Linked DNA regions of Bombyx mori. The protein of the gene in region 2 binds, or shares a complex with, the protein of the main gene of each other region. Links are inferred from orthologs where the notes say so. Each region holds a gene or a part of one and is shown on either strand. Other genes may lie near its edges. The genes, in order: E3 SUMO-protein ligase NSE2, structural maintenance of chromosomes protein 5 and EP300-interacting inhibitor of differentiation 3.

The links.
Region 1: structural maintenance of chromosomes protein 5 (region 2) and E3 SUMO-protein ligase NSE2 share a complex: the UniProt entries of both Homo sapiens proteins name them as parts of the SMC5-SMC6 complex. The link is inferred for Bombyx mori from reciprocal best matches to the Homo sapiens genes SMC5 and NSMCE2.
Region 3: structural maintenance of chromosomes protein 5 (region 2) and EP300-interacting inhibitor of differentiation 3 share a complex: the UniProt entries of both Homo sapiens proteins name them as parts of the SMC5-SMC6 complex. The link is inferred for Bombyx mori from reciprocal best matches to the Homo sapiens genes SMC5 and EID3.

The regions. Positions count from the first base shown.
Region 1 is NC_085128.1:13,903,173-13,907,342, reverse strand, and holds E3 SUMO-protein ligase NSE2, read left to right. Parts: upstream 1-1,305; 5' UTR 1,306-2,038; coding exon 2,039-2,230; intron 2,231-2,558; coding exon 2,559-2,718; intron 2,719-3,354; coding exon 3,355-3,410; intron 3,411-3,691; coding exon 3,692-3,812; intron 3,813-3,971; coding exon 3,972-4,078; 3' UTR 4,079-4,122; downstream 4,123-4,170. UniProt on the Homo sapiens protein: E3 SUMO-protein ligase component of the SMC5-SMC6 complex, a complex involved in DNA double-strand break repair by homologous recombination. Is not be required for the stability of the complex.
Region 2 is NC_085134.1:7,478,207-7,481,860, forward strand, and holds part of structural maintenance of chromosomes protein 5, read left to right. Parts: coding exon 1-6; intron 7-554; coding exon 555-702; intron 703-1,261; coding exon 1,262-1,403; intron 1,404-1,692; coding exon 1,693-1,898; intron 1,899-2,400; coding exon 2,401-2,564; intron 2,565-3,288; coding exon 3,289-3,418; intron 3,419-3,654. UniProt on the Homo sapiens protein: Core component of the SMC5-SMC6 complex, a complex involved in repair of DNA double-strand breaks by homologous recombination.
Region 3 is NC_085130.1:15,844,830-15,849,269, reverse strand, and holds the start of EP300-interacting inhibitor of differentiation 3, read left to right. Parts: upstream 1-1,624; 5' UTR 1,625-1,851; coding exon 1,852-1,927; intron 1,928-2,496; coding exon 2,497-2,607; intron 2,608-3,447; coding exon 3,448-3,566; intron 3,567-4,440. UniProt on the Homo sapiens protein: Tissue-specific component of the SMC5-SMC6 complex, a complex involved in repair of DNA double-strand breaks by homologous recombination.

The DNA.
Region 1 (4,170 bases), on a different chromosome or scaffold from region 2:
GTTTTAAAAAAAACTTCCAATCTTACCTTTTATACGGCACTTAACATATAATAGTTGAGTAGGAAATAAATACCTTTATGGAGACTTATTTACAACGATCATATTTGAGAAATCAGTAAAATGTTTTAAAGTGATGCGTATATTTATGTATCTTATTATCCAAGCAAATATACAATTTGGTTAAACTTTCTTTTATGGTCCGTCGATTTTTGGGTCGGGGTGGGAGGGGGGTAAGGGTTTACCCCTGCACCATTCCCACCCCGCGGAACCCCATGGTTATGAAGATATTCACGGTTAATGTTTTGAGGTTAGAATAGCACTATTTAGTCAAAATAGGGTTAAAATTTAGATGAGGGTCCATTAATTTTTGAGTCGGGAGGGAGGGAAGTAAGGCCTAACCCCTGCACCATCCCCACTCCGCGGAACTCCATGGTTATGAAGATATCCACGGTTAATGTTTTGAGGTTAAAAATAGCACTATTTAGTCAACATAGAGTTAAAATTTCAATTATGGTCCATTATTTTTGATTCGAGGAAGGAGGGGTGTAGAGCTTACTACTGCGCCGTCACCAAGCCGCAGATCCCCATGGTTAATTTTTTTGATAAAAATTGCATTATTTAGTCAAACTCGAAGGGAGCTTAAGTTTGAATCCGTCTTATCTCGGGCGCTGCGGGAAGAGCAATCCTTCCGCCCTTGCGTGCCGAAGCACGGTCACTCGTGCTCTGCTCCGCACTGTTTCCGTGCTCCGTCACAGCAGGCGAGGACTGCTCTCCCTCCGCGCCTCCGGTATTTTTAAAAACACTCTAGGGGTAGGGCAGACAAGACCAAGTGGAAAGTCGGGTGCTCTGATTCGGTTTTCGATATTTTTCGAATATTTATGCAATTTTATTACCAAAACACGAGCAATTTTACTATTTTTTATTTAATAGTAATAAATAAAAAATTGTAAAAAAAAATATTTAATAAAAATAATAAAAAAATTATTTAATTATAATATGTATTTAAAAATATATTTTATTACAGACAGATAAAAAGACGCTATAAAAAAATGCGTCATTTCACGTTCCGTTCCACAGTGTAAACAAAATTTTGTTACTTTTTGTGTAAAAACGTCAATATAATTGCTTCTTACAGCAACAATTGCTGTGCACACTAATTATAAACAAATTTACTATGTGAATATATTAAAATAATAAAATAAAAATAAGATAATAATATATTTCGGTAAAAACATGACATCAAATTTTATAAAATACACGTTTACCGTGAACGGAACGTAAAACGTCAACTATGACTTGACGATTTTTCTAATTTATATGGAAACTTTAAAAATTGTTAACTCGTAAACCGTACTTCTACCGTCTTCGCAACTTAAAATTTTGCAAAAAGTTTTTTATTTAGGAGCACTATATACAAAAAAATTGTGAACTTCGAAATCGACGGACCACAAAGGAAAGCTTAGCCTAAATTAATTACAATCTGAGGTAGGCAAAGAATCTGTACTACCTGTTGGTGGGATATTGCCTCCGGACCCGGCAGACTCCGAACATGTTCAGTGTATATAATCTCTGCTCCGAACTACTGGGGTATCTCGATACACTAGCGGCACCGCCTCGGCGGCCTTATTGGCAACCGTACTCAGGTGATTAGTGTTTCAGAACCTTTATTTCGCCTCGAAGACTCCGTTGGACGGGAGTCCTTGGGGTAAGGTGCGTCTGGTTGCAGTGTTAACGCGGTAACCTCATGACCTGGCCCTGGTTCTGACCTCGAAGGGGATAAGACGCTTGGAAGAAAGTGTTGGGGAGTCGCTTAGTGGGTAGGGCCCTAAATACCATCATTGGGCCCGAGCCCACTCACACAAACAAGCCTCTTTCAATTTCCGAACGATAATATGGCTAACAAAAAAAATCATGAATTTGAAATTAGAATACAAATAGTGTATGTGCTATGCTTCCTTTGCCTAGGCAATCCCTAATAAAGAAAAAAGCGTATTCTTTCATAAAATTTTATTGTTATGACATTTGAAAATTTGAAATTATGGCTGATATAGACATTCGAGATCTGAGAAAGCAGTGTATTCAAAGCTTAATCTCGACTGCGGAAAATGTCGCTAAATATTTGCAAGAGGACAAGGAAGACAATTATGAAAAACTTAAGATGTACATGGAAAACTACTGCTTATTGGAAATAGAACAAGAAGTTGCTGAGCAGGTTTTAGAGGCAGCAAAGGTTTGTTGAAAAAGTACGATTTTATCGTTTTCAATTTAAGTAAATTCTATGTAACAACAAAGCTAATAATAAAAAAAAAAACTAGTTGTGTGTAATATATACATAATATTTCAAAATATTCAACACGTTTGCAACATTTTTTCTGAAACAGAACATAGTATAACATAGAACAGCATAGCGCAATTAATTCGTTTGTACATATAAATAACGATAATGTTTTTAGCGAATCATTATTACTTCATTAGCGGAAAAACATAGGGCAATCTTTTACATTTTTTATAAAATACTAAGAAATTAAGAATCTAAAAATTCTTCGTTTAAATTCTAGGCAGATACTAACATATCAAACATAAATACACTCCAAGAAAGATTCGAGGATGGCCTGAAAACTCTTTCACAGAACAGAATTAATCCTAACAGCCATAGATACATGCAAGAATTAAAGACTAGATATGAAAGTGGATTACAAAGTGTATCTTCATCAGGACGTGAGTATTGGATCTAAATATAGTTTAATATGATATTACTGGGTAACCAACTATTCAGTATTATGAGTAGTGAAACTCCATTCAACTTTCAAACAATACCAAAATATGAAAATAAACTACCAATCAGTATTGACATGAATTGAATTCTGTTTTTCTTAAATGGAAGTTCATCTTTATAATAGAATGAGTAGGTAATTAATTTCCATTTTTTATTTGTAACTAGGGAATTGTTACTACTATAAGATTATTTATAAATATATTGTAATTCAGGATAGGCTTAAAACAACTATTTCCTTAACACAAACAAATAATTGTTTTTTTATCTCGCCATTGTAGGCATATGGGCCATGGTTACCATCACTCATGATCGTAAGCAATACCAGGGGCACAGCCAAGATACTGCCAAGCTGCAACTGCTGAATACTCTATGCACACATCATTTGAGAGGGATATGACATAAGCACTCAGGAATGCTGAAGAATGCTGCGAAATCGGGGACTTGCTGCATTGACTGACTTTAATGTTAATATTATTTTTTATTTCTTTCTTTTGATAATCAGCTCTGCTAACTTTCTGAATATATTCAGGAAAAAATTGCACCTTGCCAATGTGTAAAATTAATATAAAACACTTTAGTTACAGAAAACCTGAATGAATCTGATATAGCTATTGTCCAAACAAATGAGCAGTTTGTAAGTATTATTCCAATATAATTGTATTATTTTAATAGGTATAATTTGATGATATTGATTTGTAAAGAAATAAATAACCTGTATATACACTCACCTATATAACAACCATAAAGCTTGTACAGTAATTACTCAAAGTTCATTCAGATGTGAAAAATATCTCAGAAAATGAGATTCTCGAACCTCTATAAAAGCTTCTTTTAGTCTATCTGAAACTTCAGTTTTATTTTTAATATGTAAAAGTTTCCACTAGATTTTAAAATTTTAAAATTTTCGATTTTCAGCTAGATCCAATTACCAAAAAACATATATCAGATCCAGTGAAGAATACAATGTGTGGCCATGTGTATGAAAGAGAGACTATTTTGAATCTCATAAGAAGGAAGCATAGAATCAGATGTCCAGGTAATTCTTCATTTGTTATAATTATCTCATCAGTCTAGTGATCGGTGATTCGAAATATTGTATTCTACAGTTCAGGTTCAGTCGTTGATTAGGTGATTGAAAATAAACTTACTTTTGCTTACAACCACCACTATTTAATTTTACAATTTTACTTTGCAGTTGCGGGATGTGCCAATCCAGAAAGCATTCAAGAAAACCATCTATTGGAAGATGAAGAATTGAGATTTAGATTATCATTGTCGCAACACTCGACCATGATACATTAAGTTCATTTAATAATATAATAAATGTGAATTGACAAAAAAGGGTATTTGTTTATTTTATTTGGTTGTTTATTATCAGGAAATTAAAATGAAAT
Region 2 (3,654 bases):
GCGACGGTGAGTTCACTAGACACATGGTCCATGGTCTAGAACTGAGGCGAGAAAGTCACTAAATCAACACAAACCACATTCCTTTTTTTTCTCTTATCTTTAAGATATGAAACTTGGAGAAAATTTAAAAACAAAAGTTCGTAAGAAAATTATTTTGTATGCTATGTGATACAGTTTCCATAATGTGGCAGCTGCTATATATAACAGCTAAGGTTTGAAACTTATGAAACAAGGGAGGTTGAGGAACTCAGTGTGCGTAGTGCTAGATTTTTAATGTTTTCGATAGTGTAAAAGCTAACTCAAAATTGTATGGAGTTGGAACGTTTGCAGCTACCAAACGTTTCTGACATATCAAATACTGTTGCAGTTCAGTTTTGGTCACATATGAGTAAGGTGTGTTATTCATCTAAAAACTAAATAATAATAATAACTAGCTTGTGAACTGACCATATAACTACAGTAAGAATACGTCAAATTAAACCATAAAAAATGGTAATTATGGCTTTGCTGAAGTTTTTACAAAAGCAACTTATCCGGGCCTTGACATGTTTCAGAGAAAATAGCAAGTGAGAAAGCAAGAGCGCTGAGGGAACGTATAAGCGAGATCCAATCACAAATCCACAGCATTCAGAGGAGCAAAGCCAGGAAGGAGATGGAATATGAACAGCAGACTCTACCCAACCTTAGGATATTGAAAAACAAGTGAGCTTATTTAGTTTGCAATGAAAGTTCTAGCCGACCGCCGCGAGACGGGGCCTGGCTGACCTGTGTACATAATAACAACAAAACGATGATGAAATGCGTACATAATATTGTTTCGCGCTGGGGTTCGGGGTTAATAAAAGCTCTACCAAAGTACAACTTAAAACTGTATTTATCACTTAAAACACTCACAAAGCACTTTAAAATTCTTAATTCACTTCTTCCGCTTCGCTTCAGGTGATCCGTTAGCTGTTTCGCATTGAGTAGTTCTGATTATTAAGTGACTGACTGCGTGCCATCTCTGCAACGCTTTTATAGTCGATACGACATCCCTAGATTTATCGAGAACATTCTGGGCAAGTCGAGTAGCTTCGATGTGTGTTTCCACTATCTGACAACAGATGGCATTGTACTTCTCGAGCTTTCTCAGCGTTACTAGTGCTTTTGATGTTCGTTTCGGCTATTCGGCGATAGATGCCTTTACTCTTACCGGCGTAATAATATGTGTTATATATGTTAATTTTGGACTTTCGTCGTTACCCGTTGTCCTGAATTTCAGATTAAGGAAATTAGAAGACGTCGAGACGAAGCGTTTAGAGACTTTGAAAGAATACAGCGAGGACACCTACAAGGCGCTGGAATGGCTCAACGAGAACAAGGAGTTGTTCCATGACCAGGTCTACGGGCCCATGATGCTCGAGGTAATGGAAATACTTCTCCAAATACTGGACTGAAATTTACTTGTGGTAGGACCTCTTGTGAGTCCGCACTGTTAGGTACCGCCACTCCGCCTATTTCTGCCATGAAGTAGTAATGCGTTTCGGTTTGAAGGGTGGGTCAGCTGTTGTAATTATAGACCTTAGAACTTATATTTCAAGGTGGGTAGCGCATTTACGTTGTAGCTGTATAAGGCCTCCAGTAACCACTTAACACCAGGTGGGCCGTATGCTCGTATGCCTACAAGGAAATAACGAAATCGTTTTCCGTCAGCTGAAATTCACGCATCCGGAGACCGCCCGCTACCTCGAGTCGACGGTCTCCAGCAAGGACCTGGTCGCCTTCACGTTCCAGTCCAGCCGCGACATGAACCTCTTCCTGCAGAGGGTCCGCGAGGAGCTGCAGCTGCGCGCCGTCAGCGCCCTCTGCAGCCGCGCCGGGGACTTCAGCGCGCCCCACCACGACATCAGGGAACTCAGGTACGGCTAAGGACCAGTCCTTTTTTTTATTGCCTACATGTGTGGACGAGCTTACAGCCCATCTGGTGTTAAGTGGGTGTTGGAGCCCATAGACATTGTACAAGGTAAATGCGCTACCCACATTGAGATATAAGTTCTAACTAAACTAAGACCTTAGAACTCATCTCAAGGTGGGTGGCACATTTATGTTTCGCGATTCCGATCCGGTAGTAGATTCATTCGCGAAGCAGCTGCTCTTGAGTTGTTAGATCTCCTTCGGAGGCGCTCGGGCAGCTGTTAGCAAATCCCACTCCCCCTGGCTGAGCCTTTGCTCGCCCACCTGTTCTGGTGAAACTGGAAAGGCCGCCGGGTCACCAAAAAAATGTCTATGGGCTCCAGTGACCACTTAACATCAGTTAGGCTATGAGCTCGTCCACCCATCTAAACAATAAAACCTCGGAGGATATTAAACGTCCCTTTGAAGGTTTTAGTTCGCGTTCTGTAGTGAGTGGTTACGTTGCAGCTACCTCGGGTTCCAGAGGACCTTGGTGGAGGGCATAGCGGCGCCGGGCCCGGTGCTGCGGTACCTGTGCGAGCAGTACCAAGTCCACAGGATCCCCATCGGGAACGACCACACGTACCACCACAGCGAGAACGTGCCGGATCACGTCACGCTGTTTTTTACAAGTGAGTTTTTTTTTAATACGCTTTTATTAGATTCAGACGTATGTATGTTTGTATGTAACGGAATCTTTGAATATTATTTTGAGACTCTTCCAAAACGTCGGATTAACTCGAGATTTGGTATACTTGATAAGGATCGATGACAATTCAATTTTTAAAAAAAAATATTGAAAAAATTGAAATTCAACTAAAAAATGAAAATAGTGTAAGAAAAAATGATTTTATTGTAAAAAAAACCGTGGAGTGCATGGTATCAGTAGTTATAAATACTTTATGCACAGATATGAGTAGAAAGGTTATTTTGATAATATCCTGAGAAACACCCCACGCTTTATATTATATATCGTGATTTCTAATTATATTTACACATATGAATAAAATTGGAGTGTTTGTTTGTAATATTGAAATAACCGCTTTTTACTACATGCATATAAATATATATACGGTACATACACCAAAATAGTATTTTTACAATTTTTGTCTGTCTGTCTGTCTGTTCCGGCTAATCTCTGGAACGGCTGGACCGATTTTGACGAGACTTTCACTGACGTTGTTGTGTAACTTAGGCTACTTTTTTTAGACTGACTTCGCCCCGCGGCTTCACCCGCGGTACGACAATAGCCCCGGGTAACATCGCGGGACTCAACTATCTATAATAAACTTTAATGTTTCCGAAGCGAAGCAAGGGCGGGTCGCTAGTGTATATATATATATATACGTGTTGCAGCGCGGCACCGGTTCAGCGTGCGCGTGTCGCAGTACAGCGGCGCGCGCGCCAGCACGGTGGGCGAGGTGCGGCCGCCGCGCCTGCTTGCCAACGCGCGCGACGCCGACCTCATCCGCACCTGCGCGCTACAGTCAGTGCACAACATATATAGCCTTCTTTATTTTCCTACCTAATCTGATGGCCTTAAGTGACTATTTCAACATAACCTTTAACTCTCTATTCCAATTACAAAGTCCCTTTTAACACTTCTTATTACTGATGATAGGACCTCTTGTGAGTCCGCACCACCACCCTGCCGTGAAGCAGTAATGCGTTTCGGTTTGAAGGGCGGGGTAGCCGTTGTAACTATACTTGAAACCTTAGAAC
Region 3 (4,440 bases), on a different chromosome or scaffold from region 2:
ACGGAAACAATTAACAGTATATCGAGTTATAGCAGTTTGTACTTTAGGTTTCCATTTTCAAGATAAACAAAAGTTAAAGTGGGTTAACTTGCAGAAAATTTATACAAAGAACACATTTTTGCTTCGTAGTAACAGGCAAAGCGATGGTAAATACTTAAAGCTTCAATGTCATAATCACACAATATTGATGGACCTGGACGAATAGTACCTTTTTTTTTTTAGAATTTCGGATAACGATCTATTTGATAAACGGTAGGTATCTATATTATTAAAACAAATCGCACCTTTAGAATTTAAGTAGCTTAATTAAAAATGAGTTTTATACTTCGAACGCCTTATAAACATGTATTCTATCGATTTATAAAATTAAACAGTCTGTTTTAGTCCAGAATAATAAGACAAAGTAACCCTTCCGTCGCTTTTAAGTCAAGCGCATACCTTCAAATATTGAAATCTTCTTTCTTCTTCCATTACATTAAATTGGAGTTTACAAAAAAACGATAATTTTGGATTAAACATTTCAATGATCTAAGGGCGATATGTATATACCTAATTGTAGGAATCGAATAATTGAAACTGTTTCTAAAGGATTTCTGTGTAAGGAGTTTGGAATGAACATCGATTAAAAAAAAGTTGAAAAAGTGTACCCAAGTGTAAACAGCAAACTACCGAACCGAAACCAATATAGCGCTTTAGGTAGAAAATGGAAATTATATGTATATAGCAATTTTAAGCAGAGTAAAGTGAGCTGGGCTAAAAATTTTATATTTTTCGTGACTTGTGTAGTTAGATAAAAATTGTGCAGTATTTAAAATTTCACTTCAATATTTTTATCACTATTTACGTAGGAAGTGTTTCTTTCCTTAATAATATTAATAATAATCCTACTATAATAATTATTCATAATTTATGACGCTGTTTTTAATCGATCCACTTGCTACTACGGCGCTATCTCAATTAGCTTCCGTTCAGCGGACACTTTTTAATACTGGGATGGTGTACTTTACATCTACCCTCCACAAAATGTTATAGCTGAAGATTTTTACAAACTCAATCTTGGCAACAAATAATCACCCAAGAAACCAATTGTTCTCCCGCCAAAAAGTAGATTAATCTTGTCAACTGCGAAAACGAACCATGGAGGCATGGACTCTTAAATTAATATATTAATTATGCCATGGACTGTATTTGAATTTGAAAGAACTTTTTGGCGGGAACGCGAGGAGTGAAGTTGTGTGTTGTTTTATTTTCTCTATTTAGTGTTTCTTCGGGTTTAAATGTGTAATAGCGGTGGTTTATTAACTGTTTAATATCTGTGAAAGTGCACAAATGTGGGAAAATGAAACAAACCCATTGGACGTAGCTTCTCAGAATCCTCCAAAAAGTCCACTGAAAAATCCTCGGTAAATGACCACCATTTTACCCATTATTCATTAATTACACCATCCCATGCCATCTCATCTCATTTCATTTCATTCCAGTTCATTAATGTCTCAAATTAATCATTTTCATTTATTTCATTTAATTTCACTCTATATTAGCATTTTTATAAAATTAAGAATATAAAATAAAATATGACATGACCTAAAGGTCCTAGTTACCAGGTCATAAAATCCCAACAAATGAATTTGAAAGTTGAATGTTGAAGTTATTCTATTGTTTTAAACAATCACGAATTTAAAAAGTATTAATTGTACATTACATACTACCTTCGCTCAAAGTAATATTATTCTCATTCTGTGCATACGACGTTATTGAATCAGTAACCTAAGCTTATTAACTGCAATTCATATCTACCCCTAAATAATTATAAATAAAGTAGGTACATTTTCTTTAATAAAGTTCGTAATAATGAGTACCGCGGAATTAAACTCATCTCAGCGGAAAAGCAAGTACATTAGTATGTACGAAACTGTAACTGCTCTAGGTAAGATACGAATATTTATTTTACAAATAACCTCGGCAAGTGTACAAGTAAGTGTTACATTTAGTGCCGAACTTCTATAGAATTGTGGGCTTTAAAAACTTTTTGGGACCTGGGTATTAAATAAAACTGTAAATAACACACACTAAATATTCATAATCGCTTCCTCAAAATAAGTAATGAAGCAGGGAGATAATTATCTTACAGTAATGTACAGACTGGACAATCCAACCTGTACATTTATATATTTGAAAATCGAAAGCTAAGGGAATACGCCTGCCCTCAGAATTTTGTGATAATTTATTAATTACCTAATAAATATTTTTAATTTAATATTTCTGTCCTTTGGAATGTTTTATAGCCTTCTTCAGCATACCACGCAAGATTTAACTTCAAATCATCTTTTTTCTGCTACTAATTCTAATCCACAGGGAACCAGACTGATGTCATACCAACATGGCTGATCTGAAACTCTTTTAAAGATTACAATATTTCATAATTAGCATTGCAGTTTTTTTTCAGATATATAATAATATACCTTAACTTAAAATCTTTTATTTATGTTCAAACAGAAGATCAAAATGCGAGCAATCAAGAATGTCTAGATGTTACACACAAAGTTGTGAAAGAGGCAAAGCAACTGGTCCAGGAAGGAGGTGTTGACCATCGCAGCAAACATCCTGGTATGATATGTTCAATATTTAATTTTCTAAGATGTATCGAGTGGTACACATGCCTATTTTTGTGTCTTCACATTCCCGATCCTGTGGACAGATTCCCGATTCTGCAGACATGGAAAGCAGTCGACGTCGCCCCAAACACGTCATTTCGGATCGTCCCGATCCACTAATGGTGCTTCTAGGTACCTCAAGCACCGGTCATCACTCTCGTCGAACTCGTCGCTTGTGACGAAGGGCTCGACGAGTAAATTAACCCTCAGACACAGCCCACGGAGTTTCTTGCCGGATCTTCTCAGTGGGTTGCGTTTCTCATTCGGTGGTAGATTCTGCGAAGCACGATACTTGCTAGGGTTCGTGTTAGCAACGTCATCAGGTTTGAGCCCCGTGAGCTCACCTACTAGTTAAAGCTACGCTGATATAGCCTCTCAAGGCTCTCAGCTTAGGTAGGAAAAAAAAATGTGTGTCTGCCGGGATCTATAGACTGGGACAAAGTGCAGTGCTCTTAAGATGTCTCTGCATCCTATAAGCAAACTCCTATATGTCAGTATATCTACTCATGTTAATGAAGCCATGACATTAGATCTTTTTAGCACATTTCATTGATAACTCACTAAGTTTTAAAGGAGATAAAATCAGTTAAATTTGATAAGTTATAAACTGTATATTAATACACTATACTGAGACTAATTATGTCTGACATAAATCAAGCGGGACTTGTGTCCTGTGAGATTACAATCAAAATTAACTTACCTAGTACAACTCGAGTAGTGAAAGTAAGAAAGATCAACAAAATTCTGCAAGCTGCTCAGTTTCCAGAATAGTTCTGAGTCTATTATTCTGCAGGTGAGGGATTGCTGGACGCTCGGGTCCTCCACGCATCTTCGAACCTAGCGAAGATGTGCCTCGAGACAGTTGATGTGAACATGCATTTATATGACAAGAACCAATTAGCACAGCACATTGTGAGTTAAATATTAAGTTAAATTTATATGACAGTATTTTCTAGTAATTCAAGATATTGTACATTCTACATTTTTTATTTATTTATTGCTTAGATGGGTGTACGAGCTCACAGCCCACCTGGCGTAAAGTGGTTACTGGAGCTCGTAGACATCTATAACGTAAATACGCCACCCACCTTGAGATATAAGTTCTAAGGTCTCAAGTATAGTTACAAAGGCTCAGGCAACCTTCAAACCGAAACGGATTACTGCTTCACGGCAGAAATGGGCAGGGTGGCGGTACCTACCCACGCGGACTTTTAAGAGGTCCTACCACCAGTAATTACGCAAATTATAATTTTGCGGGTTTGATTTTTATTACACGATGTTATTTCTTCACCGTCACATTTCTATAGCATTAATAGTGTTAAATTAAGTAGAAGGGAACTGTTTCTGAAGCCAAAAAGGGAATAACAGCCTAAGCATTTTACTCAACTTTAATTAATGTATATTCTTTTAAACGGAAATCAAAACAAATACACCTGCTTTGCGTTGCCTTGTTACAAAATTATTAAAAGAATATTAGCTAACCTTCAGTCTCTTGGTTTGTAATATATGGCTCCCTAAACAAAGATTTATCAGCATTATCTAAGCCTTAACATTTGCAAGCCAAGCGGCTTCAATATATTATAACACTCCAGACAAATCTTTGGTTAGCTGTCTAATGCTGTTTCTAATAGCCAATGATGACTAGGATGTATTTGATATTTAATCTATTGAAGTAAATGATGAAACTACATAATTAAATCCATAAAAAATACTACCTCTATCCCCCCTTTCTCCTTGTCTTCATATTGTAATAATACAATTCAAGTTTAGAACCGTCTGTATCGGT